Linked DNA regions of Macaca fascicularis. Each later gene encodes a partner of the first gene's protein in a complex. Links are inferred from orthologs where the notes say so. Each region holds a gene or a part of one and is shown on either strand. Other genes may lie near its edges.

What was found.
Region 2: MED12 (region 1) and MED16 share a complex: the UniProt entries of both Homo sapiens proteins name them as parts of the mediator complex. The link is inferred for Macaca fascicularis from reciprocal best matches to the Homo sapiens genes MED12 and MED16.
Region 3: MED12 (region 1) and MED18 share a complex: the UniProt entries of both Homo sapiens proteins name them as parts of the mediator complex. The link is inferred for Macaca fascicularis from reciprocal best matches to the Homo sapiens genes MED12 and MED18.
Region 4: MED12 (region 1) and MED20 share a complex: the UniProt entries of both Homo sapiens proteins name them as parts of the mediator complex. The link is inferred for Macaca fascicularis from reciprocal best matches to the Homo sapiens genes MED12 and MED20.
Region 5: MED12 (region 1) and MED7 share a complex: the UniProt entries of both Homo sapiens proteins name them as parts of the mediator complex. The link is inferred for Macaca fascicularis from reciprocal best matches to the Homo sapiens genes MED12 and MED7.
Region 6: MED12 (region 1) and MED4 share a complex: the UniProt entries of both Homo sapiens proteins name them as parts of the mediator complex. The link is inferred for Macaca fascicularis from reciprocal best matches to the Homo sapiens genes MED12 and MED4.
Region 7: MED12 (region 1) and MED24 share a complex: the UniProt entries of both Homo sapiens proteins name them as parts of the mediator complex. The link is inferred for Macaca fascicularis from reciprocal best matches to the Homo sapiens genes MED12 and MED24.

The regions. Positions count from the first base shown.
Region 1 is NC_088395.1:77,840,620-77,844,102, reverse strand, and holds the end of MED12 (mediator of RNA polymerase II transcription subunit 12), read right to left. Parts: intron 2,332-3,483; coding exon 2,109-2,331; intron 1,730-2,108; coding exon 1,586-1,729; intron 1,069-1,585; coding exon 987-1,068; intron 777-986; coding exon 733-776; 3' UTR 501-732; downstream 1-500. UniProt on the Homo sapiens protein: Component of the Mediator complex, a coactivator involved in the regulated transcription of nearly all RNA polymerase II-dependent genes.
Region 2 is NC_088393.1:1,447,586-1,451,085, forward strand, and holds part of MED16 (mediator of RNA polymerase II transcription subunit 16), read right to left. Parts: exon of another isoform or gene 3,287-3,500; coding exon 2,855-3,286; exon of another isoform or gene 2,791-2,854; intron 2,697-2,790; exon of another isoform or gene 2,131-2,696; coding exon 2,025-2,130; exon of another isoform or gene 991-2,024; intron 1-990. UniProt on the Homo sapiens protein: Component of the Mediator complex, a coactivator involved in the regulated transcription of nearly all RNA polymerase II-dependent genes.
Region 3 is NC_088375.1:206,730,028-206,734,222, forward strand, and holds the start of MED18 (mediator of RNA polymerase II transcription subunit 18), read right to left. Parts: upstream 2,801-4,195; 5' UTR 1,860-2,800; coding exon 1,797-1,859; intron 1,578-1,796; coding exon 1,439-1,577; intron 1-1,438. UniProt on the Homo sapiens protein: Component of the Mediator complex, a coactivator involved in the regulated transcription of nearly all RNA polymerase II-dependent genes.
Region 4 is NC_088378.1:129,648,080-129,652,065, reverse strand, and holds the start of MED20 (mediator of RNA polymerase II transcription subunit 20), read right to left. Parts: upstream 2,801-3,986; 5' UTR 2,700-2,800; coding exon 2,686-2,699; exon of another isoform or gene 2,063-2,685; intron 1-2,062. Other genes in the region: BYSL (bystin), read left to right, coding at 3,242-3,509. UniProt on the Homo sapiens protein: Component of the Mediator complex, a coactivator involved in the regulated transcription of nearly all RNA polymerase II-dependent genes.
Region 5 is NC_088380.1:163,928,006-163,931,707, forward strand, and holds the end of MED7 (mediator of RNA polymerase II transcription subunit 7), read right to left. Parts: intron 3,283-3,702; 5' UTR 3,266-3,282; coding exon 2,567-3,265; 3' UTR 501-2,566; downstream 1-500. UniProt on the Homo sapiens protein: Component of the Mediator complex, a coactivator involved in the regulated transcription of nearly all RNA polymerase II-dependent genes.
Region 6 is NC_088391.1:27,201,984-27,205,483, forward strand, and holds part of MED4 (mediator of RNA polymerase II transcription subunit 4), read right to left. Parts: intron 2,588-3,500; coding exon 2,530-2,587; intron 721-2,529; coding exon 634-720; intron 1-633. UniProt on the Homo sapiens protein: Component of the Mediator complex, a coactivator involved in the regulated transcription of nearly all RNA polymerase II-dependent genes.
Region 7 is NC_088390.1:61,081,175-61,083,608, forward strand, and holds the end of MED24 (mediator of RNA polymerase II transcription subunit 24), read right to left. Parts: intron 1,749-2,434; coding exon 1,668-1,748; intron 1,407-1,667; exon of another isoform or gene 1,341-1,406; coding exon 1,192-1,340; intron 1,056-1,191; coding exon 939-1,055; 3' UTR 501-938; downstream 1-500. UniProt on the Homo sapiens protein: Component of the Mediator complex, a coactivator involved in the regulated transcription of nearly all RNA polymerase II-dependent genes.

The DNA.
Region 1 (3,483 bases):
GAGGGTAGCAATCCAATTAGAAGTAAGAAATTTAGGCCAGGCGCGGTGACTCACGCCTGTAGTCCCAGCACTTTGGGAGGCTGAGGCAGGTAGATTATGAGATCAGGAGTTCGAGACCAGCCTGGCCAATATGGTGGAACTCTGTCTCTACTAAAAAAAAAATACAAAAGTTAGCCGGGCGTGATGGCACACACCTGTAATCCCAGCTACTCAGGAGGCTGAGGGAGGAGAATCGCTGGAACCTGGGAGGCGGAGGTTGCAGTGAGCTGATATTGCACCACTGCACTCTAGCCTGGGCGACAAAGCGAGACTCCGTCTCAAAAAAAAAAAAAAGAAAAAAAAAAAAAAAAAGAAAGAAAGAAAGAAAAAAAAGAAATTTAGAGTGTAAGGTAAACAGGGGAGATGATTGGAATAGAACGAAGACTTTGACTTGTTGATCCAGCCCCCAGCATTCTCCCAAGAGACCACCCTTCCCAGACATGCAGAACTCACACACTCCCTTTGCAAAGAAGCTCTGTGTATTGGGTGCAACAGCTCTGGGGTCTCTATATAAATAATATACAAAACCCAACAGCTCAATGCCTCACATTAACAAAAATACTAAAAACTTATTAAAAACGGAGCCTGAGGGAAGGGCCCCAACCACTACTGGTGCTAGCCCAGGAACGGGATTGGGAATTAAGAGGAAAGGGTGGGGCCACATCCAGTGCACAAGCAGTTCCTCCAGGTGGCTCAGTAGCGTCCAAATATGTTGGTACTGGGCTGTGGCTGGGTATCTGTGAAAAACCAGAGATTATCAGGGATGGCAGACCAGGCAGGGGTGTGGGTATGCACGAGGAAAGCTGTTCAGGTATCAAGGGAAGGGGATGGAATGGAATGCCTCCTCTCATAACCTGGGCCTGAAGCCATCTTTTCAGCTACTTTGGCCCACCCCGCCCCCTAAATTTATTCCATGGGGTTCTCCTTGGGAAGGCAGGCAGGCTTACTGGAGAGCTGTTGTTGAAGTTGCCGGACCAAAGCTGCTGTCTGTTGCTGCTGCTGGGTCTGCTGAAGCCCCTGGCGCTGGAACTGGGTGGAAATAGGAAGTGGAAGACTGAAGTCTAACTTTTCGCCTTCTTCAACCTCCTTTCCCAATCCGTTTGTTTTTGTTTTTGTGACGGAGTCGCGCTCCATCCCCCAGGCTGGAGTATAGTGGTGTGATCTCGGCTCACTGCAACCTCTGCCTCCCAAGTTCAAGCAATTCTCTGCCTCAGCCACCCACGTAGCTAGGATTACAGGTGCCCACCACCATGCCTGGCTTTTTTTTTTTTTTTTTTTTTTTTTAATTTTTAGTAGAGATGGGGTTTCACCATCTTGGCCAGGCTGGTCTCAAACTCCTGATCTCAAGTGATCCACCTGCCTCGGCCTCCCAAAGTGTTGGGATTACGGGCGTGAGCCTCGCACCTGGCCTCCCAATCCCTCTTTAGGGTGCCATGCCCTGCCTCCCACCTCTACCCTATTCCATACTGTCCCCAACCCAGTTCACTGGCTGCATGCCCAACCTGGGCAGTTGTCCCTGAGCCTGGGGCTCTAGTCCAGTAGCTACCTGGGGCTGGGACTGGGGCTGGGGTTGGGGAGGAGCCGCCTGTTGCTGCTGTTGCTGCTGGTGTTGCTGTTGTTGCTGTTGCTGCTGCTGCTGTTGCTGTTGCTGTTGCTGCTGCTGCTGCTGCTGTTGCTGCTGCTGCTGCTGCTATAAGAACATAAAAGATACTTCAGAAGGAGCAGAGGGAGAAAGCTAAGACTCAGAACTGGAGGGCTGAGGGCAGGGGATGAGGAAGCAGGGTGGGAGCTCGGGGTCTACTGCCTTCCCTTTTTAGACAGCTGCCCAGAAAGAAACCAAATCTAGGGTACCCAGTGGACAATGTCCAACTCTCTCCTACTATGATTCCCAGAAAACAAAAAGGGGGAGGGTAGGAAACTAACTTCTCCAGCACCACTAGAGGCCAGCTGCTCTGCTAGGTGTTTTGATACACTGCCTCGTTTAGTCTTGGTAACTGTGTGGGAAGAACTTGTGCCTCTCCTCTTCCCTGGGCTCCCAGGTCCCAGAGGAAATTTCCCCAGTGCCTTACCCGCAGGATCTGCTGCTGCTGCTGCTGCCGGATGTGGTACTGCTGCTGCTGCTGTTGCTGTTGCTGTTGCTGCTGCTGCTGCTGTTGCTGTTGCTGCTGTTGCTGCTGCTGTTGCTGCTCAGGTAGGATGGCTGTTGAGCGGACGCCTGCCTGGACGCCCTGGGCACTCATTGGAGTCATGGTACTTATCATGGGTGTCTGCTGCAGTGTCTGGTGTGAAAACCTCCAAAGACAAGAGGACCAGAGGTCAAGGTGTGAGGGAGGTGGGGAGAGGGGGTCAGTATAAACCTCGGGTCCCTGACCTGAAAGAAACGTTAGCAGGTTATTTCATTCATTCCTCTTGTCACTAACCAGACTTCCAGTCTGGGGAATAAGTTGCATAAGATGATACTCTATTTTAGTGTCTCATAACCTTAATGGTTAGGAATTTTTCATCTGCATTAGCTATTTTTTCTCTTACAAAAATGAAAAATAGGGCTGGGTACGGTGGCTCACACCTGTAATCCCAGCACTTTGGGAGGCTGAGGCGGGCGGATCACTTGAGGTCAGGAGTTCCAGACCAGCCTGGCCAACATGGTGAAACCCCGTCTCTAGCAAAAATACAAAAAAAAAAAAATAGCTGAGCGTGGTAGTGGGCGCCTGTAATCCCAGCTACTCAGGAGGCTGAGGCAGGAGAATTGCTTGAACTCCAGCCTGGACGACAGAGCGAGACTCTATCTCAAAAAAAAAAAAAAAAAATAGGCATTCTATAAACACTCATTGAGGTTTTTTGCTGTTGCTGTTGTTGTTCCCCAATAACATTTCAAGTTGTTCTACTACACCTGTATATCACTCCAAGAGTCTACTGGCCAGGCTCCCCGTCTCAAGTCTTCTTTTTTCTTTTTGAGACAGAGTCTCACTCTGTCGCCCAGGTGGGAGTGCAGTGATGCAATCTCGGCTCACTGCAACCTCCACCTCTCAGGTTCAAGCAATTCTCCTGCCTCAGCCTCCCGAGTAGCTGGAATTACAGGCGCATGCCACCACACCCAGATAATTTTTGTATTTTTAGTAGAGACGGGATTTCACCACGTTGACCAGGCTGATCTCAAACTCCTGACCTTAGGTCATCTGCCCACCTGGGCCTCCCAAAGTCCTGGGATTACAGGCATGAGCCACCACGCCCAGCCTGAAGTCTTCTTCTTGCACCTCCCAGTACACATGCTATCCATTCATTCCAAGGAGTCTTGCAACATACCCAACTCCTCCTATCACTCTTCTGATCAAAAGAGTCCTTACTGGGACTGTGTCTCAATTCTTCAGCTGAGCATTCAAGGCCATCTCTCAGCCTGCCCCCTCCTAGCCTAGCCCCAGTGACTTCCCCAGCACAGATTTTACA
Region 2 (3,500 bases), on another chromosome or scaffold:
ATGAGCAGCATTCCCCTGGGGACACTGAGGCCCAGAGAGTGGCTGAGATGTGGGGAGGGCACACAGTGGTCAGGGCGGCTGGCCCTGTGGAACTGAGCCTCTCACAGGAAAGACAGGGTTAGCACTGAGTGAAGCAGCCGCCATGATGAGCACACGCCCAGCTGGTGCCCGGGGCGCCCTCACAGCCCGATTTACGTCCCCTCCTCCATCCAACTGACGGCTGCGGTCAGCATTTCTTTTTTTTTTTTTTTGAGACGGAGTCTCACGCTGTTGCCCAGGCTGGAGCGCAGTGGCGCGATCTCGGCTCACTGCAAGCTCCGCCTCCCGGGTTCACGCCATTCTCCTGCCTCAGCCTCCTGAGTAGCTGGGAGTATAGGCGCCCGCCACCGCGCCCGGCTAATTTTTTGTATTTTTAGTAGAGACGGGGTTTCACTGTGGTCTCCATCTCCTGACCTTGTGATCCGCCCGCCTCGGCCTCCCAAAGTGCTGGGATTACAGGCGTGAGCCACCGCGCCCGGCCTGCGGTCAGCATTTCTAAATGACAGGGGACTTGAAGCAGGGGGAGGCTAAGCTGCTAAGTGCGGACGTGGGGCAGTGGGTGAAGAGCTGGGTGCCGCAGGGACTGAAGCCTGGCATGGTGGGCACGTGGGGTGGTGGGGGAAGAGATGGGTGTGGCAGGGACTGTGTCTCAGTGGCCCCCAGCTGCAGGGACGTGAGACCCAAGAAAGGCTGTGGCGTGCATGTGAGACGTGGCTCTTAGGGACGAGTAGGAGCTGGGCCAGCAGGTGAGGACGGCTGCAGGAGACGAGGAGGAGCGTTGGAGCCCGGGACTACCCGGTGGTCTGGTTGTGGGCAGACGGTGGACACAGATGTGCCCAGCGGGGGTACCAGGCAGTGAAGCTGAGGGTCCTTGCAGCCCTGCCTGCCACGCGGGGTGGCGCCAGGTGCTGCCATAGGAACCAGCGCAGCTCAAACTGCAGGGTGACTCACCACAAGGCCCGGGGGAAGGAACGAGGCCTGGGGGAAGGAACGGCAGTGGCCCTCTTCAGCTGCCTGGTGACTCACGACGAGGCCCGGGGGAAGGAACGGGCAGCCGCCCTCTTCACCTTTACCGCCCCTGCGGCCACAATGGGCAGTTGACGTAAACACCTGCAGGCCCCAGGAGCCATCGGGGCCTCTCGACAGGGGCTCATTAGTGGCTTCTGAGGAGCACCAGCCCACACGTCCGGCCGCTCCAGGGTCCATTCGCGCTCGTCGGCAAAGGCCTGGGCTCTTGTCTGCCAGGAAAACACTTCCCTTCTCCAGGGCGGAGGCCGGAAACCGGGCCCGCAGCCGCCGAGGCTCTGAGCACCAAGTGGCTGTTCTGGCCACGGTCATGGCAGGCGGGCGTCCCTGCTTCGCTCCAGCCCCAGATTTTGTGCCGGAGGTGGGGGTGACGGGCTTGGCTCCGTGGGTGCGGGGGCCCATCGGGCAGATAGAGATGGGAATGGGGGCCCCAGAAGAGGCTGCTGGGGAGGTGGGTGGGGGCGGGGGTGGGGTGAGGGGCGTGTTCTCAGCAGCCTCAGCTGACCCGCTGAGCCGTGGCTTCCTCTCCCTGAACCAGCTTCTGGAGGATTCCGTGCACTGCCCCCGCCCGGTCTGGCCTGTGCCCTGCTGCCTGACGGCCCCACCCACAGACCCACACTCCACAGCCGCCTGCACGCCTGCAGCCCCTCACGGTGTCCCTGCTGGGTGAGCTCGGGTGAGCAACGCCGCCTCTGAGCCCCGGCTCCGCGTAGGATGGTGGCAGCCGCTGCGGCGGGAGTGGAAGGATGGAAGAGTCTACATGCCTAACACACTCAGAAGGCCGGCAGGCACGGGGGTCACGCCCCAGATCCTAGCACTACTGGAGGTCAAGGCAAGAGGATCGCTTAGGGGTGGGGTTCAGGACCACCCTGGGTGACAGAGCGAGACCCGCCTCCAAATTAAAACCAGCTGCCCCCAAGGGCAGGCCCAGGGCCTCCCGCAGCCGGCCGGAGACTCACCCACGGGGGAGATCTGCTGGAAGATGTTGTTCACGGGAAGCCCCTCCTTGCGCAGGGACCAGCATTCCACGATGCTGCTGGTCTGGCTGGACGCGCACAAAAGCACCTACGGGGGAGGTGGGGGTGAGGGCAGACCCGGCACTGCTGTGCTGGCCACGCGACCAGAGCCTGAGCCATGGGACCCTGGGGCCACGCCTGCCCCTCGAGGCCCTCCTGGATTCCAGCCCAGGCCTGCCTGTCCCCAGTTCCACTCACAGGAACCCAGATGTCCCCGGATGGTGCCCCCCACAGGGAGAGCAACGGGACAGGGAACCAAGTCGGGGGCTTCTAGGAGTTTGGGGCGTTACTGATTCCGAATTACAACGGAAATCCAGGCGACCTGGTGTGGTCGGCTGGACAGTGGTCCCCAGGACATCCCATCCTCAGCTCTAGGACCTGTGGCTGGGCCGCCTCTCACACAGAAGGAACCTGTGGGTGGGATTTGGTTCAGGACGCTGAGACGGGAGAGCATGTTGGGGGGGTCCAGGGGCCCCATTGTCTTCACAGAGTCCTCACGAGAGGATGTGGGAGGGCGAGATTCAGAGAGAGACAGGAAGAGGCTGTGCTGTGGCCGTGAAGCGGGAGGAAGGGGCCCCGAGCCGAGGGACTGGGCGCCCCCAGATGCTGGGAAAGGTAGGAAATGGGTTCTCCCCTGGAGCCCCCAGGAGGGACCGGCCCTGCCCACACCTTGGTTTAGCCCACGGCCCCTGTGGGTCTCCACCTCCAGGACCCTGAGAAGCAGCGTTCCATTCCAAGCCTGCCAGCCTGCGTGACAGCCCGTGTCCGCTCACCTGCTCCGACATGTCCCGGGCCAGGAACTTGAGATGGGTGATGGCGGGGAACTTGTCCTTGCGGTTCAGGTCGGTGGTGCAACGCATGAACAGGGAGGGCAGGATCTCCGTGTCGATGCGGCACTTCTCGCTCACCACGCTCACGCACACCTTGTAGAACTGCACGGGCGACGCGCTGCTGCCGTCTGCCGTGGCCACCACGATGTTGCCGCCGCCTGTGAAGGCGATGTCCGCCAGGGCCACACGGCCGCGCAGCCGGCACAGGCTCTCGGTGGACGTCAGCACCTGCCCGCTGGGCTTCAGCAGGGACACGGTGACCAGGCCGCTGACCGTCACTGCGATCCAGCCCTCCATGGGCTTGCCGCCGAACAGCGTGAGCGACGGTGAGAACTTCACTCGGGAGAACTTCTCCCCGAAGCTGGAGGCGCCTGACTGTGGAGAAGGGAGGGAGGAGGGGCCGCTCAGGCTCACGGGGGTTCCCTCTGTGACCCCGAGAAACACTCACACAGAAGAACCACGCAGAAGCCAGGGGAGTGTGCACCTGGGTTCAGATCCTGACTCAGCCACCTGAGCCGTGTGGGATGTGGTCCCCTCCGACCCTCCGTCTCCTCATCTGAAAGGTGGAAGGAATGGCACCTTTGCTTTG
Region 3 (4,195 bases), on another chromosome or scaffold:
CCTTAGCCTCCCAAACGACTGGAATTACAGTCATAAGCCTGTAATAGCTGGCTTGACATACATTATTTTTTAGTCATCTTTCTCCCTCCATGGCTATGGCTCAAATGTTTGGAACATATTCAGATACTTGTTGACAAAATCTGGCCTGGCGCAGTGGCTCACGCCTGTAATCCCAGCACTTTGGGAGACCAAGGCAGGTGGATCACCTGAGGTCAGGAGTTCAAGACCAGCCTGGCCAACGTGGAGAAACCCCGTCTCTACTAAAAATACAAACATTAGCTAGCCATGGTGGTGCACGCCTGTAACCCCGCTACTTAGGAGGCTGAGGCAGGAGAATTGCTTGAACCTGGGAGGTGGGGGCTGCAGTAAGCTGAGATTGCACCACTGTGCTCCATCCTGGGCAACAGAGTGAGAATCCATCTTAAAAAAAAAAAAAAAAATCAGAGAAACAGGACCTAGAAAGATAGCTGCTGAGGGTTTGGCATAGAGGGGAGTGGGAATTAGTGTTTAAGGGGTAAAGAGTTGCAGTTTTATAGGATGATAAACAAGCATTTTAGGCTGGGCGTGGCGGCTCATCCCTGTAATCCTAGCACTTTGGGAGGCCAAGGCAAGTGTATCACTTGAAGGCAAGAGTTCAAGATCAGTTTGGCCAACATAATGAAACTGCAACTCTCTACTAAAAATACAAAAACTAGCCGGGCATGGTGATGCACGCCTGCAATCCCAGCTATTCGGGGGGCTGAAATACAAGAATCCACTGAACCGGGAAGTGGAGGTTGCATGAGCTGTTATCATGCCACTGCATTGCAGCCTGGGTGACCGATCGAGACTCTGTCTCAAAGAAAAAAACAGTTGTACTAAGTATTTTTTCAAGCTACTCACAATAAACCAAAGTTCTAAAGATCTGTTGTTCAGCAATGTTAATATACTTAACAATACTGAACAGTACACTTAAATATGTTAAGGTTTTTTTTTTTTTTTGAGACAGAGTCTTGCTCTGTCGCCCAGGCTGGAGTGCAGTGTTGCGATCTCGGCTCACTGCAATCTCCGCCTCCCAGGCTCGCACCATTGTCCTGCCTCAGCCTCCCAAGTAGCTGGGACTACAGGCACCCGCCATCACGCCGGACTAATTTCTTTCTGTATTTTTAGTAGAGACAGGGTTTCACCGTGTTAGCCAGGATGGTCTCAATCTCCTGACCTCGTGATCCACCCGCCTCGGCTTCCCAAAGTGCTCGGATTACACGCGTGAGTCACTGCACCCGGCCAAGATGGCAGATTTAATATGTTTAGTGCATGTAAAACTGTAATTTAAAGTAACAGTTAAAAACATAGTTGGGTGCCAGAAACTGTGCAGGCTGCTTTTGTGTTGTCTCTCATCTTAAGGGAAGCTGAACAGAGAAGAGGAAAACAGGTAATCCAAGTTCCCTGGTTCACTTACCCTGCAATAGGTACTCCATCATGTTAATGGTGCCCCCAGTGACAGGCATCATGGTGACTGGAGGTGCCTCCATGGTGTCTAAGTTGAAGACAACACAACTGGACTCAGAGCCCCCAGTCAGGTAAGGCACGGGATATACCTGGAAAAGAGTTCACTTGTTTATACATCAGAGTAGTCGAGAGAGACCAAATCTGTTGTGGCACTGGCCTTCAAATCAAAAGATTCATTCATTTAAAAACATTTCAGTGTCTTACATGGCCAGTTCCAGGAACTGATGATACAGAAATATAAAAAGGAGATCTGGTCATGGAGTTACAGCATTGCCTTCTAGTCTCAAGTTCTGAAACCTCCAAGTTACCTGTGCAATCTTGAGAAAGTCCTGTCTATAACCCCTCACCCTGGGACTCAATATCTTCCTCATAAAATGAGACCAGCAATTTTTTTTTTTTTTTTTTTTTGAGACAGAGTTTCACTCTTGTCGCTCAGGCTGGAGTGCAATGGTGCAATCTCTGTTCACTGCAGCCTCCGCCTCCCAGGTTCAAGCGATTCTCCTGCCTCAGCTTCCCGAGTAGCTGGGATTACAGGCACCCACAACCATACCCGGCTAATTTTTTTTAATATTTTTAGTAGAGACAGAGTTTTGTCATGTTGGCCAGGTTGGCCTTGAACTCCTGGCCTCAGATGATCCTCAGGTGAGTGGGCCTCCCAAAGTGCTGGCATTATAGGCGTGAGCCACCACGCCCAGCCAAAGGCCAATGATTTTTAACTCCCAAGGTTATGTGGCTCAAACGAGATAATAAAGAGGCAACAAAATTCAGAAGAACTGAAAAGTGTCTTAAGGGACCTTCATTTTTACAGATGAGGACATTGAGACTCAGAGAGGGACAGGATACACACAGCAACTTGGTAGCAGAGTTGGGACCAAACTAGAATCTAGGCATTCCATCGCTCTGAAAATGCCTTTCCCCCATACCCTTTTCTTTTTTGGTGACAGGATCTCGCTCTGTAGCCCAGGATGGAGTGCAGTGGGGGAGTTCCTAGTTCACTATAACCTCGAACTCCTGGGCTCAAGCGATCCTCCCACCTCAGCCTCCCGAGTAGCTGGGACTACAGGAGGGAGAGTCACTGCGGCTAGCCTAAAAATGCCTTTTAAAGAGAGCCAAGGCCAGGCGCGGTTTCTCACACCTGTAATCCCAGCACTTTGGGAGGCCGAGGCTGGCGGATCAACCGGAGGTTGGGAGTTCGAGACCAGCCTGACCAACATTAAGAAACTCCGTCTCTACTAAAAATACAAAAAATTAGCTAGGCCTGGTGGCGAGCGCCTGCAATCCCAGCTACTCAGGAGGCTGACGCAGCAGAATCGCTTGAACCCGGAAGGCGAGGTTGTGGTGAGCTGAGATCGCGCCGTTGCACTCCAGCCTGTGCAACAAGAGCGAAACTCCGTCTCAAAAAAAAAGAGAGAGCCAAGAGGAAGTTATTTTAAAATGATGGTATATAGGTCCTTCTAAGCCAGCATCCACAACACGTGTCCACTTAAACACTAGAAGCACACCTCCTTGAGGCTCTAGTGTCTTCTCGAGAAGTCGGGAATTATATGCACCCGCGCACCTAGGAGCCTTTGAGCGACGATTAGATCCCAGTCCTCCGGTTACCGGAGCCCGGGAAGCCCCCAGACCGGTGCAACCAGCCAACTTCCTGCTCTTCTCACTTCCGGTCGGAAGCCGAAGTCTCACAAACCTCGAAACTGCCGTTCCCAAACGTATGGGTGCCGAGAAGGCCGAAGAGCGTCATTGCGGACAGACAATCAGAAGCGCATGCGCAAAATGCCGGGCTGCTGTAAGAAAGATGGCGGCCTCCTTTGGAGCTTTCCTCCGGGGTCTACCTGGCGCCTTGACGTCACAGGCCATCCTCTAGGAAAATATTTTTAGGTTTGACAACCTGGAGATGTATTTGTGCAGAAAGTCTCTTGGAACTGATAGGACTTACAGAGATTATAATGGGCTTAAAAAGAAAAATGAACTGAGGGCGCGGTGGCTCACGCCTGTAACCCCAGCACTTTGGGAGGCCGAGGCAGGTGGATCACTTGAGATCACGAGTTTGAGACCAGCCTGGCCAAGATGGTAAAACCCCGTCTCTATTAAAAATACAAAAATTAGCCGGACATGGTGACACGCGCCTGTAATCGCAGTTACTAGGGAAGTTGAGGTGGGCGAATCGCTTGAACGTGGGAGGCAGAAGTTGCAGCGAACCGAGATCGTCCACTGCACTGTAGCCTGGGATACAGAGAGAGGCTCTGTCTCAAAAAAATAAATAAATAAATAATAAATAAAAATTTAAAAGTCTGGAAAAGGAGTAGGTCCAGATCCAGGAGTACTCTGCAGTGCCAGACTAAAAGAACACGTGTGAGCTTTAAAAGAACCCTGGTTGCAACATGGAGAAAAGTTTGGGAAAGGAGAGAGCCTAGAGAAAAATGACCAGGCGGGACATGGTGGCTCAGGCCTGTAATCCCAGCACTTTGGGAGGCCAAGGCGGGCAGATAGCTTGAGCTCAGGAATTAAGACCAGCCTGAACAACATGGTGAAACCCTGTCTCTACAAAAAATACAAAAATTAACTGAACGTAGTGGCTTGTACCTGCAGTCCCAGCTACTTGGGAGGCTGAGGTGGGAGGATTGCTTGAGCCCAGGAGGCAGAGGTTGTGGTGAGCTGAGGTAGTGCCACTGCACTCCAGCCTGTGCAACAGAGGGAGATCCTGTCT
Region 4 (3,986 bases), on another chromosome or scaffold:
AAAGATCAATTTAAAAAATTAATAAACAATAGTACAGGCAGTACTTAGCTATATAGAAATCAAGAAAACAGTCATAGATGACATTGCTTTATGATCAACTAAATGAATCTATTAGGGTAGAGTCCTTCTGTTGCTAAAAATTGTCACTACTCTATCAGAAAAAGCACTGATAAACAATGTTGCTAATGTGCCTTATGTTGAAATATAAAAGAATCCCTAAACTGACGCTACAAGGGACAGAAGTCCTAGGATTCTGAAAACGTTGATAAGGGTGCCAACAGAGAGCCCTTGCCCTGGAGCTGCCTTCTCCATTTATTTATTTATTTATTTATTTATTTATTTTTTTTTTTTTTGAGACGGAGTCTCGCTCTGTCACCCAGGCTGGAGTGCAGTGGCCGGATCTCTGCTCACTGCAAGCTCCGCCTCCCGGGTTTACGCCATTCTCCGGCCTCAGCCTCCCGAGTAGCTGGGACTACAGGCGCCCGCCACCTCGCCCGGCTAGTTTTTTGTATTTCTTAATAGAGACGGGGTTTCACCGTGTTAGCCAGGATGGTCTCGATCTCCTGACCTCGTGATCCGCCCGTCTCGGCCTCCCAAAGTGCTGGGATTACAGGCTTGAGCCACCGCGCCCGGCCTGCCTTCTCCATTTAAAAAGCAGGGGTGGCTGGGCACGGTGGCTCGTGTCTGTAATGCCAATACTTTGGGACACCAAAGCAGGAGGCTCGCTTGAGTTCAGGAATTCAAGACCTGGATGTACAAAACAGCAAGAACCCATTTCTATTTATTTAAAAAAGAGCATGGGGTTCCAGGGTTCTACGCTGCATCCTTTCTATTTCCATCCCTCACATATCTTGCTTCCATTAAGGAACACAGGAGGATCATGATGTGAACTGTGGGAAACAAGAGTGCAATCACTGAGAAACCTGCAAGAACCTGGGCTACCAGGAGGAAAAGTATTTCCCCTACACATGCTTTTGTATGAGAAGCCTATAGCCACTGGCTTCAGATATCCTGGCCTCTGGGTTTCTCCCACGGGGAAAAATGCTCACATCTACTGAGATAAGAAAAAAATGTTCTGGGACCTGGCACCTTACAACTAACGCCTCCACAAGCACTGGACCCATACCTTTCCCTGCTACCTCATCTTCTTCCAACGGAGACTTAAAACCTATGAAAGATAAAAACTCCTCTGAAACTAGACTAACCATGGAATTAAACATAGTGGGAAACGGGTCCTAAAGAGATAAAGTGCCTGGAACCATGATCTCCTTATTTTCAATAGCCTCTTTTTCCCTCTGGACCCAAGATCTTAAAATGGGCAAATTAGAAACAGACACAAGCTGGTCTAACTGCATTTGATGGCTGAGGGAAGGGTAGGCAAAAATCTTGGCCGGTCGCGGTGGCTCACGTCTGTAATCCCAGCACTTTGGGAGGCCGAAGCGGGCGGATCACCTGAGGTCTGGAGTTCGAGACCAGCCTGACCAACATGGAGAAACCCCGTCTCTACCAAAAATACAAAATTAGCCGGGCGTGGTGACGCATGCCTGTAATCCCAGCTACTCCGGAGTCTGAGGAAGGAGAATGGCTTGAACCCGCGAGGCGGAGGTTGCTGTGAGCCGAGATCGCGCCATTGCACTCCAGTCTGGGCAACAAGAGCGAAACTCCGTCTCAAAAAAAAAAAAAAGAAAGAAAGAAAAAGAAATAAAGAAAAATAAAGAAAATCTTTAAAAATACTGTTTCCTGATTGCTTATAACACACTCCCTCTAACCCTGTCTGCAGGTGGGTCACAGTCCAAAGACCCTATTTCCAACCCTGACGTCCCATTGCGGGCAGTACTATGGCCTCACGGGAAGGAAAATAAATCTAGAAGGGAATGAGGTACACAACCATTGATAGGTTCCTGGGATAAAAACTTTGCTTTGTCGGCCGGGCGCGGTGGCTCAAGCCTGTAATCCCAGCACTTTGGGAGGCCGAGACGGGCGGATCACGAGGTCAGGAGATCGAGACCATCCTGGCTAACACGGTGAAACCCCGTCTCTACTAAAAATACAAAAAACTTACCCGGGCGAGGTGGCAGGCGCCTGTAGTCCCAGCTACTCGGGAGGCTGAGGCAGGAGAATGGCGTGAACCCGGGAGGCGGAGCTTGCAGTGAGCTGAGATCCGGCCACTGCACTCCAGCCTGGGTGACAGAGCGAGACTCCGTCTCAAAAACAAACAAACAAACAAAAAAAAAAACAAAAAACTTTGCTTTGTCGACACCAGCCTGGCCAATATGGTGAAATCCCATTTCTACTAAAAATACAAAAAATAGCCGGGCGTGGTGGTGGGCGCCTGTAGTCCCAGCTACTCGGAAGGCTGAGGCAGGAGAATCGCTTGAACCCAAGAGGCGGAGGGTGCAGTGAGCCAAGATCGCACCACTGCACTCCAGCCTGGCGACAGAGCGAGACTCCGTCTTAAAGAAAAAAAAAAAAAAAAAAAAAAAACTTCGCTTTGCTTTCCCGCCTTCCAAGAGGAAGGGGCGCATCTCCGAGGAAACAAGGCCGGGGAACCCGCGGCTCGCACGGCATCCTCTCATCCACACAACCCGAGGACAGCTCCCAGGGGACGGCGGACCACGGTCAAGGTCCTCTTTTCGGCCCTTCACAACTCCAAGCTCCGCCCTACAAAACCCCCTGCAGTCCTACCAAGTCACTCCCATGGCGTCGGGCCAGGAAGGCGGCCGGATCACACGGTAGAAACGCAGGGTTCCCTATCCGCCCACAGAAACTGCTTCAGTTCCCCAACACAACCTTCGGTCTCGGAAGAGACTCCGGAAATACGTAAAAACAGAGCGCCGGGTCCACGCCTTCCCCAAGGAGTGGGGCGGGTCTCAGGGCCCCTCGGTGACACCTCTAGTGACATCATCTGCGGATTCCCGCCCACAGGTTTCTAAATCCAGACATTCTCGTTTGGCTGAGCACTCTAGGCCTAGACCCATGAAGCTAAGAGCGACACTCAAAGACTGCACTGTTGAGAGAAGCTAACGTTAAAGGCTGTAAATATATTGGGGAGTCCAGCACCGGAACCCGGGAGCTCTTTTAGTGGGAGGGGCGGCGCTGATGGCGCTTCTGGCCTCCGAATGCTAGGGGGCGCTGTGATCGCCGCGTGGCCTCTTGAGAGCCGGGAGTCCACCGCGCAAGCGCAATCTGGCTTTTTCGCCGTCTCCACGTGCGAACCTCCGCGGCAACGTTTTCGAGAAAAATGCCCAAATTGAAGGCGGCCCGTGGGGTCGGGGGTCAGGAAAAACATGCGCCCCTGGCCGATCAGATCCTGGCTGGGAATGCGGTGCGGGCAGGGGTCCGGGAGAAGCGGCGGGGTCGCAGGACCGGAGAAACGGAGGAAGAGTATGTGGGACCCCGGCTGAGCCGGCGGATTTTGCAGCAAGCACGGCAGCAACAGGAGGAGCTCGAGGCCGAGCATGGGACTGGGGACAAGCCCGCGGCGTCGCGGGAACGCACCACGCGGCTGGGTGAGTGTCTGGGATGAGATCCGAGGAAGACAGTGGCCAGTAGTGGGGCGGGGTGGACAGCTAAAAAGTGTCTGGCAGGGGAATTGCTTCGAGTCAACAAAGGGTCCGTATTACACTTGCAAAAGTAATGGAATGGGAGACTGAACCCTGTTCAGAGCCCTCCGCGTCCACTCCTAGTTTTAGGCACTCCCTTCTACACATCCCCTAAGTTAGGCCAACAGTAATCGCTCGCTCCACCCTAGCATTTATCCATTGGTTTTGTAAATATATATGGGATACCCACTACGAGCTTTGTACTATGCTCGGAGTTCTATCGAATGTTTGGGTACAGAAGTAAACAACATAGGCACGTCTGACTTAAGGACCTTACAGTCAAGCCCAGTAGAGAGTCAATTAAGTAGACTCTTAGAATAATATTTTTCTATGATAAAGTGTCGCTTCCCTGGTAACAATAGCATTGGTCTTGAGAAGCTTCTC
Region 5 (3,702 bases), on another chromosome or scaffold:
GGGTAACATAGTGAGACCTCATCTCTACTCAAAGAGAAAAAAAAAATTTTAGGCCAAGAATGGTGGCTCACTCCTGTAATCCCAGCACTTTGAGAGGCCCAGGCGGGCAGATCACGAGGTCAGGAGATCCAGGCCATCCTGGTCAACATGGTGAAACTCCTTCTCTACTAAAAATACAAAATTTAGTGGGCATGGTGGCACGTGCCTGTAGTCCCAGCTACTCGGGAGGCTGAGGCAGGAGCATCGCTTGAACCTGGGAGTTGGAGGTTGCAGTGGCCCCAGATTGCGCCACTGCACTCCAGCCTGGCGAAAGAATGAGACTTCATCTCAAAAAATAAAAAAAAAAAGTTTTAAGAGATAAAAAAGAAGTGAACATGTACACATGCCTTGAAAAGAGAAGATAATGTGGACAAGGTGATTTGAACAGACAATAGAAACATAACTGGAAGCAAGATTCTTCTGAAGGTGCTGTAATGGCTGAATAGTTAAGACACAAACTATCACCTTCAAAAATCAATTCGTTTTATTATCTTAGTTACATTTTCCTTCGCCCTTCCGACACATCCAACACTTAAACTAGCATCAGGCATAGAGGTGACCACAGTAAGTATTCATCAAATGAATACCATGAATAAATGAATAGCTGGGGAAAAACTACTCTCATAAAGAGAACACAGATTTGTACAGTCAGTTTATTTTTGCTATTTATATTAAGTTTACACGTGCCTGATCTGTAGTGGATATCTCGTTGTTAGTTCAGCACCACTTCCTTCCTCTGAGACAGACTGACTCTTCCATACATAGACATAGTGGGGACTGTCAAATTATTATGGGAGCCAAGTCCCAGTTGATTTGCCCAGTTGGAATCAAGTATGCAACCCCTAATTCCTCATGTCTAGGTCGTTAATTAACCTCATTTTTTTTCGTATTTGAGAGAGAACTCCCAGACAGTGGTAAACATAGAAATGCTTAACACATGGGAACTGTTAGTTGCCATGTTCTCCACCTACATCATTAAAGAAGTTCATCAGTAAAGAGAATGAAGCTAACAGGAAGGATGGTCTCCAGGGCTACTAACTCAAAACTTCAGACACTTTCTGTCCTCCTCATGGTTTATATGTTCAACTTATCCTTCAATCAACATACCCTATATCCTTTCCTTTTAAAATTAAATAGCAATGGAGAGAAGTTCTCACTATGTTGCCCCCGCTGGTCTTTTCAACTTTCTGGTTGAAAAGGTCTGGGATGGAGCTAGAGAAACTTCATTTATTTTTTATTTTTCTGAACCTATGGATTATACTAAAACTTTTATTTCTAGTGAGTCCCCAAATGGTACCAATGCTGCTGGTCCAGGACCACACACTTTAAGAACTACTGGCCTACATTAAGAAAATGGCAGGCAAAGATCCTCAGAAACAAAGTCAACTCTCTACTAACACCTTGGTGGAAGAGGTGATGGACAGTGGGGAGAAGAAAGTGCTCACATAAAGTCCAATTAGTGAGGGGCAGAGTGGAGTTAATGAAAAGAAGACTTAGTCCTCACAGTCATTCAAAGACCCAGACTGACAATCTTTGCCATCTTCGGTGGCTTCCAAACTTATCCTGGATATGACCATGCAACCAGCAGTTGGGAGAAAAGAATGGAGGATCATGCAAGAAATGTTTATGGGGCAAGCCTGGATTCCTATGCCCACATTTCACTGCCTAGAACTTAATCATATGTTCTCACAGAGATGCTGGCAGTACGGAAATGTCCCTGGTTGGGTTGCCACATCTTGGCAACGTATCTTCAAAGAACAAGACTCTCTGGTAGACACCTAGCAGTCTCTGCCGTCAAACCCCTTTCCCAATGTGGACTTAAGCAAGTCTGGGCTTAGCTTTAAAGAAAATGTGTAGCTAATGACATAGACATCTTAATTACTAAAATTAATGTCTGTAACTTAAAATGGCCAAAGGACTTATTACCTGAGTGACTGGAGAAAAAAACAATTCATGGGACTTGCCTGCAAGAGTCTATTCAGGATAGGGAGAAAAGACTGAGATAGTGGGTTTACAGGAGCAGTCATGAGGAAAAAATAAAGTTTCTGTTTTATAATTCTTCTGGGCTCCTCTCTATTAACATGTTATACTACCTTTTGCAGCTTAAGCAAAATTTTTAATGGAATAAGTTTAAAGATATCATAGTTTTACATTTATAGATTGATATCCATTATTCCTCTATCATTCTTAAAGCAAATGATAAATCCCCTTTTCAAAGACGAAAACTTTTGCTATTACTGAGGTTATCATCAAAGTTTTACCGCAACTCCAAAACATAGGAATGTCCCATACAACAGCGGTGAACACTTTGCTTTTTAAAGTGATTATTCTTAGTGCAGGGGTACTCATTTGTCTATGCTTGTTATACAGTGAAATTACTGCCTATGACATCTCATAATTGAAAAAGTTGGAGTCAAGATTAAAGCTGTTTACATTTTTAGTGAAACCTCTCTTAAGACTGTCCAAAAGAAAATAAACTAATATATGAGGCTATTTATCAAAAGGAAAAAAGAAACATAAACATCTTTCATGGTCTTTCATTCATTTCATCAATTAGGACACACAAGGCAGCATCTTTCTCTATAATCTGATCTCTCCTATGACCTGAATTTTCTCTTTGTTCATTCTGTCCAGTACAATTGTTGCTATCATCAGCATCCATTGGTTCAGTTTTTACTCTCATTCCTGCTTCTGAATGAGGCAAATCATCAGGCAAAGAAGCCAAGCAATTCTGAATCATTTCAATTACTCGTTCTAGGTGCTTTTGAAACCTCTCAGCTGTTTCAAGCCGTTGACGTTTCTGGACCTCCATCATGACTCTCAAGGTCTCTCTTGCTTGGTGGGGTCGGTATTCATTTATAAGATGATGCACGTGTACAAAAAGCAGCTTAAGATCTTCTAGTTTCTCTTCTCGTTTTATACTCCCAGGGCTCCTTATTAAAATATCTAAAAGGTCCAAGAAATTAATAAGGATAGACATATTAAGTTTTCTCAGTTCTTTTTTGTGATCAAACTGCATAGGATGAAGCCGTTCGATGCCCTGACTTTCCAAAGGGCGGATGATAAGATCATCGCATTGGAACTGATTGCCAAACATCATGTAACTATCTTTTATTGGAGGGGGAGGCTTGGGAGCTAAGCCTTCTTGAATATTTTCATCTGTATATTCCTTGATATATTGCATTGGAGGTGGTGGAAGTGCACTTACTTGCTGTGGTTCACCCATTGTGGACTATCAAGAACCTATGGACACAGACCAAAGATTTATTAGAGCCACAAAACAAACCTGTTACATTTCATAACTACAGACAGAATATTTTCTTCCTTTTCTTCCAGTAGTTTGGGGTCCAAGACAAGATGATCTCCTTGGTTTCTAAAACTAACATTTATGATAGGTAAAGTTTGCCATATTTTCTAAGTAGGCATTATATTCTCAACCATTCACATATTTTCCATTCTCTCCCTAATAATTTCATCAGCATGAAAAAATCTGTAGCATCTTCTGATCTCTAAAGAAAATCTTCCACCGGGTGCGATGGCTCACACCTGTAATCCCAGCACTTTGGGAAGCCGAGGCAGGTGGATCACAAGGTCAGGAGATCGAGACCATCCTAGCTAACAGGGTGAAACTCCGTCTCTACTAAAAGACAAAAAAAATTAGCC
Region 6 (3,500 bases), on another chromosome or scaffold:
CAAAATTATAGTCACCCTTAGTGCTTTCAGCATGGTAACACAGCCCCTTCAGGAGTTACTGAAGTGGAGACAACTATTAATATTTCCCCTTCCTCCAATAAGGCTGCTACCTTACATCTCCTGTTTTATGTTTCATCCACTGTCATTATAGTTGCAGCCTAATATTTTCTTTTGCTGTCTAATTATCCTAGCTCTTTCCAAGCCTGTGTGTTCACTGTTGGGTACACAGCACTTTGTCTTTAGCATCTAAGATAACTGGAACTGTCTTTCTTAGGCTGGAACCTTTGTGGAAATCCTAATGGCTCTAAAGAGTTGGCTTCTGGCCAGCCCTGATATAATGGGATATAAATCCAAGCTTTAGAAGCATCACATTATCTTGTACTTTAAAAACAAAATCAAATTATTATTTCAAAAGAGGAAAGAAACATAATCCCTAGCAATAATGGCTTCATAGAAAACAAAATTTATAAAACCCATGGCCTATATCATTACTTATAAACCATTAAAGATGTGAAAATATGTGGCAGAGGTTTCTAAGGATACATACATTCTAAATTAAATCTATGTGTGTACATAGTCACCTAAGAATTTTCAAAATCACATACATCTAGTATAAAACAGGAGTGTGTTTACCTGGAACCCAGGTCAGTGGAGCACATACAGCATTACTTGCACTGATCCTATGTGCATACTTAATTATTTCTTCAGAGGAGATAGCACCTGAAAGAGTTAAGAGGATAGTATAACCTGTAGTCTAACAAACATACAAGTTTAGAAATGTATCTATCAGTTACCCATCATATTTAATTTTAAATTACCTGAAAATAAAATCATCTCAGTCACCCGCCTTCCTTAACAATATCTACATATTTAGTATAAACTTAAATCTCCAAAAACAGGACACTAATCCAGAAACATTAGCTGACATAAACAAATTTTGGAGATTAGCATGACAGCACTCAATAATCTCAATTATTAACTACCATTAAATACTATTACTCTTCTGAAAGCAATAGTGAGCACAAATAAAATAGAGAAAATAGTGTTTTAGGCCGGGCGCGGTGGCTCAAGCCTGTAATCCCAGCACTTTGGGAGGCCGAGGCGGGCGGATCACAAGGTCAGGAGATCGAGACCACAGTGAAACCCCGTCTCTACTAAAAATACAAAAAATTAGCCGGGCGCGGTGGCGGGCGCCTGTAGTCCTAGCTACTCAGGAGGCTGAGGCAGGAGAATGGCGTGAACCCAGGAGGCGGAGCTTGCAGTGAGCCGAGATCGCGCCACTGCACTCCAGCCTGGGCAACAGCGTGAGACTCCGTCTCAAAAAAAAAAAAAAAAAAAAAAAAAAAAAAAAAAAAAAAAAAGAAAATAGTGTTTTATTTCTCAAAGACATCCAAGCTATGAAATCAGAGCAGACAGTTCACACCACTCTGTTTGATCAATATGCCCTAAGGCTCTTAAGTAGACCTAAGTAGAAAGATGTCTACAATGTACTCACTAGGTAAACAAAACACTACTAAATAATATGTTCGATATGACCTGATTGTTTAAAATACATGTACATATGTGTATTTGTATTTTTATTATATACATACTCACAGATCTAGAAAAAAAATCTAGAAGGACATATACCAAACATTAATAGTTACCTCTGAGAAGTGAGAACCACACACTTCATTTTACAAACTTTACTGTTTCAACCTAACAAAGTGTATGTAAAATTTTTGAAGATTAAAAACAAAATCAAACTACGGTCTAGAAGTCAATAGCCAGCCTCAGTCATCTCTCCTAGAGATTTGTTTGTTGCTATAGAAGCCTAACCTAACTCTCAGAAGAATATTAGCTATTTTTCATATGCAACAATAAAAAGGTAGGTTCCCAAAAAAGAGGACAGTTAGACAATAAATCTCAGATGAATAAATGTAAAATCATATGTACAAATCATTAAAGGCAAGTAACCAAAGTTGTAATTACAATTCTGACGTTTAGTATGGCAAACTAAAAAGTCACGTAAGATCCGTAACAGAAGCCTTTGAAAGAGGGACAGCAGGCCAGGAAGGCATGTGGGCCTCTGCACTACCAAACGTGCTTACCTGCCAAGACTATAACTGGCTCTGACTTCATGTACATCTGGCTCTGACTTCATGATGTTTCAGTCCCAGCTCAGCTGTCCAATGGATGTCCTTTCACTCTCTCTGTCCTAGCCTTCAAGATTTGGTACAAATTCCACTTCTAACCCGTACTTCTCTTTCCCTCTCCCACCAATTTTATAAACTCACTGTTTTTACTGCACATTTGGGCACACAGCCATAAACTGCCTTGTATTAATTGCTTTTTATAATCTGAAAAAGGATGTGATACTTCTACCTCCCTCACAACACCTAGCACAATGCTAGAACATAACACACTTTACAATAAAAATTTATTGAATCCTTTCAACAGCAGCAAATGATTATCAGTAATATCCTCTTGCACTGGTCTCTTGAAAACAGAACCTTAACTTCTCAAGTCATTCAGTCTTCCCATACTAACCTTTTCTTGCTTTTTCTATTGACTTGAGTTTCTCCTTTGCTTGGTAAACAGCTGTTGCCTAATTTAAACAACATAAAAAAAAAATGTGATTTATTCTTCAACTATATCAAACTTAGTTTTTGGCTTAATTCATAAGATCCTTTATCCTACAAGAACAATCTTCGAAACCTGGAAATCCCAACAATTATCTGTAATGTTCTGAAATACCTCTTGACATTATTTATTTCAGTCATATTTAATGAAAGAAATATTATATTTATGAACTAGTCTCCCATTCACAATTCAGTTGTAAAAACAAAATATAAATTGGATTGTCTACTTTTTCTTCACGTCTTCTATCATAAACACGCAGGAGATATCTAGACCATGCACAACCCCAAAAGCATCCTATTCTTGTAACTAGTTCAAGAATAAAATACCCCCCCCTTTTTTTTTTTTGAGATGGAGTTTTGCTCTTTTTGCCCAGCCTGGAGTGCAATCGCGTGATCTCGGCTCACCGCAACCTCCACCTCCTGGGTTCAAGCGATTCTCCTGCCTCAGCCTCCCAAGTAGCTGGGATTACAGGTGTGAACCACCATGCCCAGCTAAATTTTTTTGTATTTTTAGTAGAGATGGATTTCACCATGTTGGCCAGGCTAGTCTTGAACTTCTGACCTCAGGTGATCTGCCCGCTTTGGCCTCCCAAAGTGCCGGGATTACAGGCACGAGCTACCATGCCTGATTTTAATTTTTTTTTTTTTTCAGACAGAGTCTCGCACTGTCACCTGGGCTGGAATGCAATGGCGTGATCTCGGCTCACTGCAACCTATGACTCCCGGGTTCACACGATTCTCTTGCCTCAGTCTCCCGAGTAGCTGGGGTTACAGGCACACACCACCACACCTGGCTAATTTTTGTATTTGTAGTAGAGACGGGGTTTCACTATGTTGGCCAGACTGGTCTCGAACTCCTGACCTTGTGATCTGCCTGCC
Region 7 (2,434 bases), on another chromosome or scaffold:
CTCCTCGGAAAGCAGGGTCAGAAGTGTCCACTGCCAGGCTCGGAGACGTGTGAGGCAGGCAAGGAAGGGTTAAAGAAAGGTCCGGCCCTCATCCCCCCGCCTCCCATCCCCCAGTCCTTTTTTGGAGGCAACAGACCAAATCCCAGGCTAGTCAGAGTGTGGGTAGGGTTGGGCCAGGTTCGGGAGAAAGCAGAGCAGGCCACCCTGCCCCAGCACTGTGGGGCCCTGAGCCAAAGCCTCTCCCCTTTCAGGGTACAGCTGGCTTTGCGGGAGGGGCAGCAGGCCGGCCAACTTGGCTCCAAGGAAGGGAAGCTGCTTTCCCCTGGCCCTTCCTCAGCTGAGCAAGTCCACATAGGACCCTAAGCCCTGCCACCTCTGCACCTCTTCCTCCTCCTCCTCACCACAGGAGTGCGCTTTCCCCGGCCACAGCACAGGCAGTCCAGGGAGAGAGCACTGTGCCCCGCCCCGGGTGACACTGATACCAACAGCACCCACAGTCGCAAAGGGATCCACGAGGAGCTTTATTTACACATGAACAAAGGTAGATTTCCCTCACATATTACAAAATATATACACACACACACACACACACACACACACACACACACACACTCTCTGCGTCTAGAAAGTTCCTCAGAAGTAAGATTACCCCTGGGCTGGGGCGGGCGCACACAGGGGTGACCACTGGGCTTGTGGTCCAGGCTGCTCACACTCCTCAGGTGCTGGCAGACAGAGAAGAAATTTCAAAAGAGGAAACCAGGAGACATCCTGGAGGTCAGGAGTCAGAAGCGGGGAATTAGAAGCTGCCAGAGGCTCTTGCACCATGTGGAGCGGATGTGAGCCACGATGCCTCATCTTTCCTCACTGCTTCCCTTGGAGGCACCTGGGGCTGTGCCAGTCCCCAGCCCCCAGCCCCCACTGCGGCCATGCCAAGCTCCTCAGAGTGCAGCAATGGCTTTAGCAGCCACCTGGCGGCCCAGGGGCAGGCTGAGGTCCGTGATGGCCAGAACCACCTTGGGGCTGGACATGGCTGACACCTTCACCAGTTCCGACACCTGCCACAGACAGAGATGCTGCTTGCTGGATGGCTGGTGGTGGGCGTGCTGTCCCAGGGGAAGGAGGCCCCTCCCTGCTCCAAGGGCTGCACCGAGGCCCCAGCACCAGCGGGAGAGCCAGGAAGGTGGTACTCACGGTGGTGAAGGGCATGAACTGCAGGACACTGCCGCGGCCACCCTGCTCCAGGCAGTCCACACACTCCTCCATGAACCACTGCACGAACTGGGTGTGGGGCCCAGCGGTGCGCGACCCCAGGATGGAGGAGATGAGCAGGAAGAGGTTGGCTGTGGAGAGTGACAGGAGGGAGTTCCATGAGAGGGGGTGAGGTCACACTCTGGGAGAAGGCGGGACTGAAAAGGGAAAAGAAATACATGCTGAGCATGTCCCCAAAACGGGGTGTCAGAGAGAGAAAATATAAAAGGCAACCGGGGAGGGGAGGGGGGGAACTAGACAGGAGCCTGGGAGCCAGGACAGCCAGCAATGAGGAGCATGGAGGGAGAAGGGAGGGGCACCATGAGGCCCCTTCCAGATGACAAGGTCGCCCAGCCTCCATGAGGAGAGGGACTCGTCCAGCTTAACCCCAGGTTCAGCAGCACGGGTGGGGAACTTACCCAGGACTCGGTTCAGAGGGTCCCGCATGTTGACGGTGTGGAGCTGAGAGGCTGAGAGGGAGCTGCTCATGGACCGGTCTGCTGTGGGACAGAGCAGACAGAGCGCTGGGGAACAGCCTGCCGAGTGCAAAAGCGGCGCTCCCTGGGGATACCCCCACCTGACCTTCACCCATCGGAGGTAACTGGTACATGGAAAGCCCAGAGAAGACCCTGAGATCAAGAGCACAGAGGGAGGCTGGGTGCAGGGGCTCACACCTGTAATTCCAGCACTTTGGGAGGCCAAGGCAGGAGGACTGCTTAAGCCCAGGAGTTCAAGACCAACCTTGGCAACTAGCGAGACCCCATCTCTACAAAAAATACAAAAATTAGCTGGGCATGGTGCCAAAGCCTGTAGTCCCAGCTCCTTGGGAGGCTGAGGCAGACTGCTTGAGCCCAGGAGAACAAGGCTGCAGTGAGCCGAGATGGTGCCACTGCACTCCAGCATGAGCAACAGAGCAAAACCCTGTCTCAAAAAAACAGGCTGAGCGCGGGGGTTCATGCCTGTAATCCTAGCACTCTGGGAGGCCAAGGCGGGTAGATCACCTGAGTTCAGGAGTTTGAGACCAGCCTGACTAATATGGCGAAAGCCCATCTCTACTAAAATACAAAAATTAGCCGGGCGTTGTGGCAGGCGCCTGTAGTCCCAGCGACTCAGGAGGCTCAGACAGAAAAACTGCTTAACCCAGGAGGCGGAGGTTGCAGTGAGCCAAGATCACGTCACTGCACTC